Macaca fascicularis: one gene and its partners. The protein of the gene in region 3 interacts with the protein of the main gene of each other region in a biochemical or structural test. Links are inferred from orthologs where the notes say so. Each region holds a gene or a part of one and is shown on either strand. Other genes may lie near its edges.

Region 1 (2,500 bases), on a different chromosome or scaffold from region 3:
TTCTCCTGACCGCAGTCCAGAATTGAGCAGTAGCCGGGATCGTTACAACAGCGACAATGATCGATCTTCCCGTCTTCTCTTGGAAAGGCCCTCTCCAATCAGAGACAGACGAGGTAGTTTGGAGAAGAGCCAGGGTGACAAGCGAGACCGTAAAAACTCTGCATCAGCTGAACGAGATAGGAAGCACCGGACAACTGCTCCCACTGAGGGAAAAAGCCCTCTGAAAAAAGAAGACCGCTCTGATGGGAGTGCACCTAGCACCAGCACTGCTTCCTGCAAGCTGAAGTCCCCGTCCCAGAAACAGGATGGGGGGACAGCCCCTGCGGCAGCAGCCTCTCCCAAACTCTGTTTGGCCTGGCAGGGCATGCTTCTACTGAAGAACAGCAACTTTCCTTCCAACATGCATCTGTTGCAGGGTGACCTCCAAGTGGCTAGTAGTCTTCTTGTGGAGGGTTCAACTGGAGGCAAAGTGGCCCAGCTCAAGATCACTCAGCGTCTCCGTTTGGACCAGCCCAAGTTGGATGAAGTAACTCGACGCATCAAAGTAGCAGGGCCCAATGGTTATGCCATTCTTCTGGCTGTGCCTGGAAGTTCTGACAGCCGGTCCTCCTCTTCCTCAGCTGCATCAGACACTGCCACTTCTACTCAGAGGCCACTTAGGAACCTTGTGTCCTATTTAAAGCAAAAGCAGGCAGCCGGGGTGATCAGCCTCCCTGTGGGGGGCAACAAAGACAAGGAAAACACCGGGGTCCTTCATGCCTTCCCACCTTGTGAGTTCTCCCAGCAGTTCCTGGATTCCCCTGCCAAGGCACTGGCCAAATCTGAAGAAGATTACCTGGTCATGATCATTGTCCGTGGTGCGTCCTAAAGTCCATGTGTAACTTGTATTTACTACTTTGACATGGTTCCTGTTTTGTGATGTGTAATGGGATACAGCATCAGATGCAATTTTCTTTTTAGTTGTTAGTTGTAGCATTTTCTTTTTTATATTTTTATAAACGTCTTTAAAATAGAAATCAGGACAGTTTAGCTATTTTTTTGTTTGTTTAGCTATTATTTTAAGTGAAAGGGATGCCCTAAAGGTAGCAGGCAGACAGATTTGCTTTAATTAGGAGTTCCCACCCTTACGAGTAATTTTTTTCCTCTATTCAGTTTTTTTTTTTTTTTTAATCTTGAGCCTAAAAAATCCTCTGAGTTACAAAACCAAAACTTTGAAAAGTCAGAATTTGGAGAAAGGAGTCCACTGACCATACAAAGAGAGTAATAGCCACCTAAAAAATGACTTGATTGGTGTGTAGGTAGATAATTCTTTTACCAGAAATGTGTGTGACTGAAATTTGATCAGGGATCTCAAAGGTATGCTGGTAAATTGTTTAGCAATGTAATTATTTTAATCAGGTATTTGAATATTTCTTAAGATACAGTTTATTCCCAGAGAGTTTGCTTTAACATGCATTTTTAAAATCATTTGTTCTAGAGTTCTGTATCCCGTGTATGCACTTTTGGTTTGTAGCAGTAACTGTTCAGTAAAAATTAAGGACTGTGTTACAAACCATATATGTCTTATGCTTACACTAGTATGCAAGAAGTGAGTAGGTGCTTTTAAAATCAGAATTCTTTGGTCAGTTATTGGTGTGTGGTGATGTTTTTACTGACTTTTTCAGAGAGGTGTAGCAGGTACAGTTCTAATTGTGCATCTTTCAAAACTGTTCTTCATCAAAGATGAGTTTTTGATTTTGTATCCATTCAAATTTCTGGTTTCAATAATAGAAAGAAGAGTTGTCTGCAGGCTCGTAGTCATCTTTTATTTCAGTGGGCATTTAAAGCAGCCATATTTGGATTGCAGACTTTCTTAAAAAGTCATCATAAAATGCCTTTGACATGCTCTCTTAAAATTTTGCTTGTCTTTTTATTTTCATATTTAAACAGTAGTGACATTACTATTGGAAATGTTTTGAACATTTTGGAAATTTTATGTTTAGTATTCTCACTGCTGTCCAGCTACGGAATTGAAATGTCAGTGTAGGAAAATCTTTTTTTATTGTTTTATTTTCCCAGACACCTGGAATTAATACAGGATCATTTAACTTACCCTCACAGTTTTTTTTTTTCAAAGGTGATAATGACATCAACCTCTGGTTCTCAACAAGGACTTTTGCTGCTTAACAGTAATGGATTTTGTTTTTTTTTTAAATCTATCCCCTCTGTCCCACCCCTAATTTGTCAGGTCATGAGTAAGTATATTTTTCTCCCTTGATTTAAATGCTGAAGACTTCAGCTAAGGCCCTTGATATTTAATTATGATTAGAGACTTTTGGACCTTCTGGATCATGGTCATGTTTCTGTTCTGTGAAAGTGACTTAACTTGAAGCCTGGCAGAACCCAACTGTTTTCTTTCTGTTATCAAAGCTGGAAGTTTTGAAATAGCACCAATAATAACCCAGGGAAATGTCATGTAATTTTTATTTTCCATTATGACAGGTGTCTAATGCATGTCAGC
Region 2 (3,715 bases), on a different chromosome or scaffold from region 3:
CCGGCTAGGGTTTTTTTGTATTTTTTAGTAGAGACGGGGTTTCACCGTGTTAGCCAGGATGGTCTCGATCTCCTGACCTCGTGATCCGCCCGTCTCGGCCTCAACTAATTTTTTTTTTAAGAGATGGGGTCTCACTGTGTTGCCCCAGCTGGTCTCAAACTGCTGGGCTGAAGCGAACCTCTTGCCTCGGCCTCGCAAAGCGCTGGGATTGCAGGCGTGACCGCGCACGAAAACTTGTAAAGGATATGACTAGCAAATTGTGAGAGTGCAGACTCGGGGGTCTGCAGGTGGGGACCAAACAACCAACCCGCAGCTCTTCTGCGGCGGCTGTCGCCCGCCGAGTCCTCCGCTGGACCCCGCCGCGAGCCGAGCGCACAGTCCCGGGCGGGAGCGGAAACAAGGACTCCCAGCGGCTGCCGGGCACCCGCCGCGCCCGCAGGGCCCCCAGCGCCCCCAGCCCAGGGCGATCGGGTGGGGCGTGCGGGGAGGGAGGGGCGCGCAGGCTCCGCCCCCAACGGCTGCCGCCCCACCCCCTGCGCCCTCGCACCTTCGCCAACCTAATCACGCGCCGCCCTGCCCGCCCTTCCGTTGGCAGCGCCGGCGTCCGCGCGGGAAGGTATAAAAACGACCTCAGTCGCGGCCCGGCTCCCTCAGCAGCGCCCGCCGAGTCCCGCGAGCCAGTGCGCACGCGCCTTCCCGCCTCACCCCGTCCCGCGCGCGCAGCCGTCCGCCGGCGGCCAATCAGCAGTCGCTCCGAGGCCGTGGCACCGGAAGGCCTCACGAGGCGCCGGAAGTGACGCGCCGGCGTGCTGACGCGCGGGCTCGAGCCGATGCCCGATTCCGCGCCCGCCATGGCCGACAAAATGGACATGTCTCTGGACGACATCATTAAACTGAACCGGAGCCAACGAGGCGGCCGCGGCGGGGGCCGGGGCCGCGGCCGGGCCGGCTCCCAGGGCGGTCGCGGCGGTGGGGCGCAGGCCGCCGCGCGAGTGAGTCGAGGCGGCGGGCCCATCCGGAACCGGCCGGCCATCGCCCGCGGCGCGGCCGGCGGAGGCGGCAGGAACCGACCGGCGCCCTACAGCAGGGTGAGTGCGGAGGCCGGCCGCGCCGGAGAGCGGGAGGGGACCAGCCGGGGCCGGGGCGTCTCGCGGTGGAGACCCGGGCCGGCGGACAGATAGGGCCGGTGGAGCGGCCGCCCGGAGGTCCGGAGGGTGCGTGTGGGCGCGGAGGGGGTGGTGGGCGGGAGCGAGGTCGTTCTTTCGGGGCCCGGTCTCGGAGGCTGAGACCCTTCCCGGCTCTTTGTTTGTTCCGGCCGCCGGGGCCTCGTGGCGGCAGGAGAGGAGGGGACGCTGGGCGCGGCACCGGCGGCGGGAAGTTAGTCGAAGGGAACTGAAGTTGTGCGGCCGCGGTGGGACCGTGCCGCCTCGGGCTGGGGCAGCTGCTGCGCCGGAGGGAGCGCCGGCGGCCCCGTCTCGGCCGGATCCTCTCAGGCCGGGAAGAGGAAGGGTCCGGAGTAGCCGTGAGGGCCAGGAAAGGCCTGGACTGAGACTCACGGATCTGCTGTTGTTGCGGTTTTTTTTCTTCAGCCAAAACAACTTCCCGACAAGTGGCAGCACGATCTTTTCGACAGTGGCTTCGGGGGTGGTGCCGGCGTGGAGACGGGTGGGAAACTGCTGGTGTCCAATCTGGATTTTGGAGTTTCAGACGCCGATATTCAGGTAAGAGACGAGGGCTTCTCGGTGAGCCGTTCGCCCTGCACAGGACCGATCGTGATTTGGGGGAGGGGGCCCTGAGTCCCCTTCCCGCCTTAGCGAAGGGAGCGCTCCCAGCTCTCAAGGGCTGCAGGACAGACCTAGCTCTAGTAAAGCCGGGCTCAGTCCGCAGGCAGGTGCGAGCCTAGCCGAGCCTGAGGAACTGCTGCTGATAGTGTGAAGATGGGTTCTGTGAGTGAACATCCCCAGCCAGGGCTTCCAGTTTCTAACAGGGACCAAAACTGATCAAATGTGAGTGGTTGTTGGCTGTTTAACCCAGCCCAGTTGCTCTTTAAATGTTGTGCCCCTTTTAGTGGGTTAATGTGAGAAAAATAATCTTTTTTATGTACCTTATGAAGCACAGGAAGCCTGTGTGATTTTCTGGCTCTGTCTGCCTTGAGTATTGTCTTATAAAGACGTTGTACGCTGCGGTTTTATCACTCCCCACCCCCGTGTCCCTTCAGTGACATGATTCTCAAGCCCATCTTTGGTTGAAGCTTTTCTTTTTTTAAAAAAGAAAAATTGAATCCCAATGGCATTTAAACTTGTTTTCTGGTTAAGAAATGATTTTTTGGGAGTCAGTTTTGGAGATGGCTGGGCAGGGTTCAGTTGCCCACAGCCCAGCCATTTGCCTTGGGAGGACAGAGTAGGGCCAGTGAGCACTCACAGTGTCTCAACACTTTTTTTAAGGTGGTTTCTAGCATCCACTGGAAACCGCTTTTGGTGAACTCCAGTTCCCGCTGTGTGCCTGCGGCCGGAGTATCCCCACACTCTGGGTTCCCTCTCCAACTCCCAGCCTGCCTGAGGTCAGGGCAGTTTCCATGGCAGCGCTTGACTTCAGACTTTGCGGCAGGCTTGAGTAGGAGGAGAGGGAAAGGTGAGCCAGAATCTGCCTCTGGGGGAGGGGCTGGGGTCAGGGCTCCCGAATCTACAGGCCCTTCAAGCTGGTCTGATATCGGACTGCTTCCCTTGCTCTTGCTCTTGATCTTGGCCTTTACCGTTTCTTGGAACAGCCCTTGGGTGTGTTGTAAATTTTCCTTCGTTGAGGAGGATAGTGGCTTAATTTTGTGCCCTTTGCTAGTGGGCTTTGCGACTTCCTCTATCTGCATCATGGTACACGTGTCAGGTCCCCACAATGGCAGGAGCCCTCAGACCCAGGTGCTCTTGGAAGTTGCTGTCCCTTCTGCCCCACCCTTCCCTCATTTCCCGTTACCACTGTCCTGCCTCCCAGGGAACCACCCCCAAAGCAACTCACGCTTCCAGGGCCTGTCCCTGGGCCACCAGAAGGAACCCAGTTTTGTTGCTTTTCTGACAACTGTTCTTTGCAACTCCCAGGAACTCTTTGCTGAATTTGGAACGCTGAAGAAGGCGGCTGTGCACTATGATCGCTCTGGCCGCAGCTTAGGAACAGCAGACGTGCACTTTGAGCGGAAGGCAGATGCCCTGAAGGCCATGAAGCAGTACAACGGCGTCCCTCTGGATGGTGAGTCTGGGGGTAGACCCACGCTGACTGTGGGGCTTGTGGAGTTTGGGGCTGGCACCTGTCCAGGTAGGAAAATGGGGTACCCCTGTGGCTGAGGACACTTTGCATTTGCCCCTTTGTCTCTCTCTTCCATCTGCCACCTCTCATGCTGCCCCACACATCTGGACCAACCTCTTGTGAACCCCCATCCAGCAAGCTACATCCCTCCCCTCCTTCAGCTCCTTCCGGAAGATTCACTTCTGTGAAGCCTTCTCAGAACCGCCATAGTACACCTCTGAGTGCGGGGCTGTAGTCGTAAAGACAAAGGTACCGGTTCTTCTTCGTCAGGTCACCCACACCTCTCCACCCACGAGCACCCTGACACCTCAGCAAGCAGCCCACCCAGTCTGGACTGAGAAGGATGAGGAGGTGTTGGTGGGGTTGCTTCCTTGCCATTTTGTTCTCCCACCAGTATCTCCAGGCCATTTCCCTTGTCGGG
Region 3 (3,650 bases):
AAGAGATTAAAAAAGAAGATTTCAGAGCTAAGCGTAGGTACTGGGGGTATGGGGATCCAGTTGGCTGTCTTCACCAGGGTCTCCTCCCTTTTTCCTTCCACCTTTTGCAGTTGAAGTCTGAGCGGGAGTTGGACAAGATAAAGGGGCTGAAACTAGAAGAGCTCTGGCTCGACGGAAACTCCTTGTGTGACACCTTCCGAGACCAGTCCACCTACATCAGGTCAGTTGTAGCCTGTGTCTCCCCTCCTGGGGACCTTCACCCCCTGGGAGGCTGAGCTAATGCATCCTGACCAGGGCCCGTCTGCGGAGATGTGCAGCCCTGAGCTGGAACCACCTGTCCTTTGGGAGGATCACGTGCTCCCCACTTTGGTCTGTCTATGTCTTCCAGCTTTGTCCTGAGATCCTTTCTCTTCTCTTCTGACCTGACTATCTGTTTGCTGGGTCTGTGGCCTTTCTCTTTCTTCCTGAACACAACCTTTTCTAGAATCTCCCTACCCTGTTGTTCCAGGAAAGGCATCTCTCCTTTCTACTCTGACCAGAGGGTATTTGTACATACCCTATAGATGGAGTGGCCTTATACCAAGAGCCTGATGTCCGTGGGCGGAGGAAGCCCTCCCTGCCTGGGACTTCCTTACTGAGATGGGCCTTCCGTCCTTTGTACTGTGATGGTCCCTCTTGCCCTTGCGCGAAGAGGGACCCTTTTCTCAGGATCCACTTGCCCAGGGTTGTTGCCTGGGCATTCCTGCCCATGCTGAGGTTGAGGCCTCCTAGGGGCTGGTGGCATGCAATCTGTCTATCTCCCTGAAGAAGAAACCTGGGTTCCCCAAGACGTGATCAGAGCTGGGGCCCCGCCAGCAGGCGAGGGAATCCCAAGGCAGGTGCTGGGCGTGGAGGCCACGGGGGCATAGGCTACCAAGGAGACAGAGAACTGAGCCCCTCGGGGGCGCTGCCTCTCCCTCACTCACACACTGCACGTCACCCTGTTTGGCCCCGGTGGATGGCTGGTTAGCCAGAGACGGGTAAGATTCCTCAGGGAAGGAACAACCTAAGACAGGCACAGTCGCAGAGGGGCCATCAGGAGATAACTTGGGGGCAACAGAGGTGGGGCACGGACCCTCACCCCCACAATCCTGCAAGGGCCTGAACCCTCACACCTTCTGAGGGAGGTCTCCTGCCCCCATGGCTGCTTTGCTCCCCACGCCCAGCTCAGATCGGGACCCAGGTAGCAGACAGAGACCTGGCCAACAGCAAGTGCCCACTCACCACAGCAAGGATTTGTTTCTCATTTCTACCTTGGACCACAGGGATGGGGCAGCTGAAAGAAAGGGCTGTGTCAGTTTCTCCCTTTTCTCCCTCATTTTTCTAGATGCTTTTTTGCCTTGTAGTTCTTTTCCCTTTTTCTTTGCTTTCTCTTTCTTTTTCTTCTGTGTTTCCTATACCTCCCCATCTCTGCCTTGCCCCTGCCCCATCTTGCCTTCTTCTCTTTTTCCTCCTTTTCCTCTCCTTTCTTACTCCTTGGCTTCTCCTCTTCCTGAGCCCCACCTGCTCATCTCCCTGCCCCAACATCCTGTGCCATCCCTGTGGTGTGTTTGGGTCTTGGCCAAGGCCAGACCTGGCAGAACTGATGGATACCTGGTGAGGCAGCGGAGCCCCTGGGCTCCCACCCCATTCCCTCCTCCCGGGGCTGCACAGGTGAGTAGGTGGAAGGTAAGGGGGGCAGGGAGGGGAAAGAGGTCCTGGGCTTAAAGCCTAGGTTTGGAGTACTGCTCCTTGACACTCAGGGTCAGGCAGAGAGAAAAGAGACAGCCTTCAAGGCAGTCCATGTCTGGGTGCCCCGGGTCAGGTGGGGAGTGGGGCCATTTTTCCCTGAGCACAGGCTGGGAGGGAGTGGAGGGATGAGCAGGATGGGATGGGCTGTCCCTCGGGTTTGGTATATTTGCTCCTAGAGCAGCCCAGGAGGCACGGTGGCTCTGAAGCATCACTTACTTCTGTCCCGTTCTTGACAGCGCCATTCGCGAACGATTTCCCAAGTTATTACGCCTGGTAAGTCCATAATTTTTTCATTCTAACAAGCACAGTGTCTCCCACTCACAAGGATTCCTGGATAGTTTTCTTTTTCTTTTTATTATTTTTTTTTTTTTGAGGCGGAGTTTCACTCTTATCGCCCAGGTTGGAGTGCAACGGCGTGATCTCAGCTCACCGCAACCTCCGCCTCCCAGGTTCAAGCGATTCTCCTGCCACAGTTTACTGAGCCCGAGTAGCTGGGATTACAGGCATGTGCTACCACGCCTGGCTAATTTTTGTATTTTTAGTAGAGACAGGGTTTCACCATGTTGGCCAGGCTGGCCTCAAACTCCTCACCTCAGGTGATCCATCCACCTTGGCCTCCCAAAGTGCTGGGATTATAGGCGTGAGCCACCTTGCCAGGCCGTTTATGGAGTCTTGCTCTGTTATCCAGAGTGCGGTGCAATCTAGACTCACTGCAACCTCCGCCTCCTGGGTTCAAGCGATTTTCCTGCCTCAGCCTCCCAAGTAGCTGGGATTACATGCATGTGCCACAACGCCCAGCTAATTTCTTTGTGTATTTTTAGTAGAGACGGGGGTTTCACCATGTTGGCCAGGATGGTCTTGAACTCCTGACCTCAACTAATCCATCCACCTTGGCCTCCCAGTGTGCTGGGATTACAGGCATGAGCCACTGTGCCCAGCCTGGATTCCTGGATACTTTTCATGATGCTTTTATACGTGACTTCTGATCCTTCTCTGTTAGTTCTTTAGTCTACTTATGCATCCAGCCTTTTTCTCTCTGGTTTAAACTGTCAACTTTTGTTTTGTTTTTGAGACAGGGTCTCGCTCTGTCATCCAGGCTGGAGTGCAGTGGCACAATCGTAGCTTACTGCAACCTTCGCCTGCCAGGTTCAAGTGATCCTCCCACTTCAGCCTCCCAAATAGCTGGGACTACAGGCACACACCACCACGCCCAGCTGATTTTTGTATTTTTTTTTGGTAGAGATGGGTTTTGCCATGTTGTCCAGGCTGGTCTAAAACTCCTGGGCTCAAGCCATCTGCCTGCCTCGGCCTCCCAAAGTTCTGGGATCACAGGTGTGAGCCACTGTGCTCAGTCTACACTGTCAACTTTTATTTCCTTTCCACAGGATGGCCATGAGCTACCCCCGCCAATTGCCTTTGATGTTGAAGCCCCCACGACGTTACCGCCCTGCAAGGTAGGAAGCATGGACTGAGTAAGAACTTATGTGTGGAGAGAATACTGCTTCCATGTTCCTAATATCTTGTTTGATTTCAGGGAAGCTATTTTGGAACAGAAAACTTGAAGAGTCTGGTCCTGCACTTCCTACAACAGTAAGTATCCCAGGGCCCCCTCTCCCCACCCCGGGGTTGGCAGGGAAAGGTGGGCAGACCCAGGCACACCTCAGCCTCACTCTTTTGGGTTTTTTTTTTGTTTGTTTGTTTTTTGGACAGTGTCTCACTCTGTCACCCAGGCTGGAGTGCAATGATGTGATCTTGGCTCACTGCAACCTCTGCCTCCCAGGGTTCAAGTGATTCTCCTGCCTCAGCCTCCCCAGTAGATGGGACTACAGGCGTGTGCCACCACACCTGGCTAATTTTTGTATTTTTCATAGAGACGGGGT

Evidence for each region.
Region 1: the proteins of NXF1 (region 3) and RBM15 form a complex in vitro, tested with the Homo sapiens proteins (2 studies listed by BioGRID). The link is inferred for Macaca fascicularis from reciprocal best matches to the Homo sapiens genes NXF1 and RBM15.
Region 2: the proteins of NXF1 (region 3) and ALYREF form a complex in vitro, tested with the Homo sapiens proteins (2 studies listed by BioGRID and IntAct). The link is inferred for Macaca fascicularis from reciprocal best matches to the Homo sapiens genes NXF1 and ALYREF.

The regions. Positions count from the first base shown.
Region 1 is NC_088375.1:123,967,204-123,969,703, reverse strand, and holds part of RBM15 (RNA-binding protein 15), read left to right. Parts: coding exon 1-857; intron 858-2,500. UniProt on the Homo sapiens protein: RNA-binding protein that acts as a key regulator of N6-methyladenosine (m6A) methylation of RNAs, thereby regulating different processes, such as hematopoietic cell homeostasis, alternative splicing of mRNAs and X chromosome inactivation mediated by Xist RNA.
Region 2 is NC_088390.1:88,268,732-88,272,446, reverse strand, and holds the start of ALYREF (THO complex subunit 4), read left to right. Parts: upstream 1-824; 5' UTR 825-830; coding exon 831-1,088; intron 1,089-1,589; coding exon 1,590-1,721; intron 1,722-3,089; coding exon 3,090-3,237; intron 3,238-3,429; exon of another isoform or gene 3,430-3,543; intron 3,544-3,715. UniProt on the Homo sapiens protein: Functions as an mRNA export adapter; component of the transcription/export (TREX) complex which is thought to couple mRNA transcription, processing and nuclear export, and specifically associates with spliced mRNA and not with unspliced pre-mRNA.
Region 3 is NC_088388.1:11,252,217-11,255,866, forward strand, and holds part of NXF1 (nuclear RNA export factor 1), read left to right. Parts: intron 1-110; coding exon 111-220; intron 221-2,006; coding exon 2,007-2,043; intron 2,044-3,155; coding exon 3,156-3,224; intron 3,225-3,304; coding exon 3,305-3,360; intron 3,361-3,650.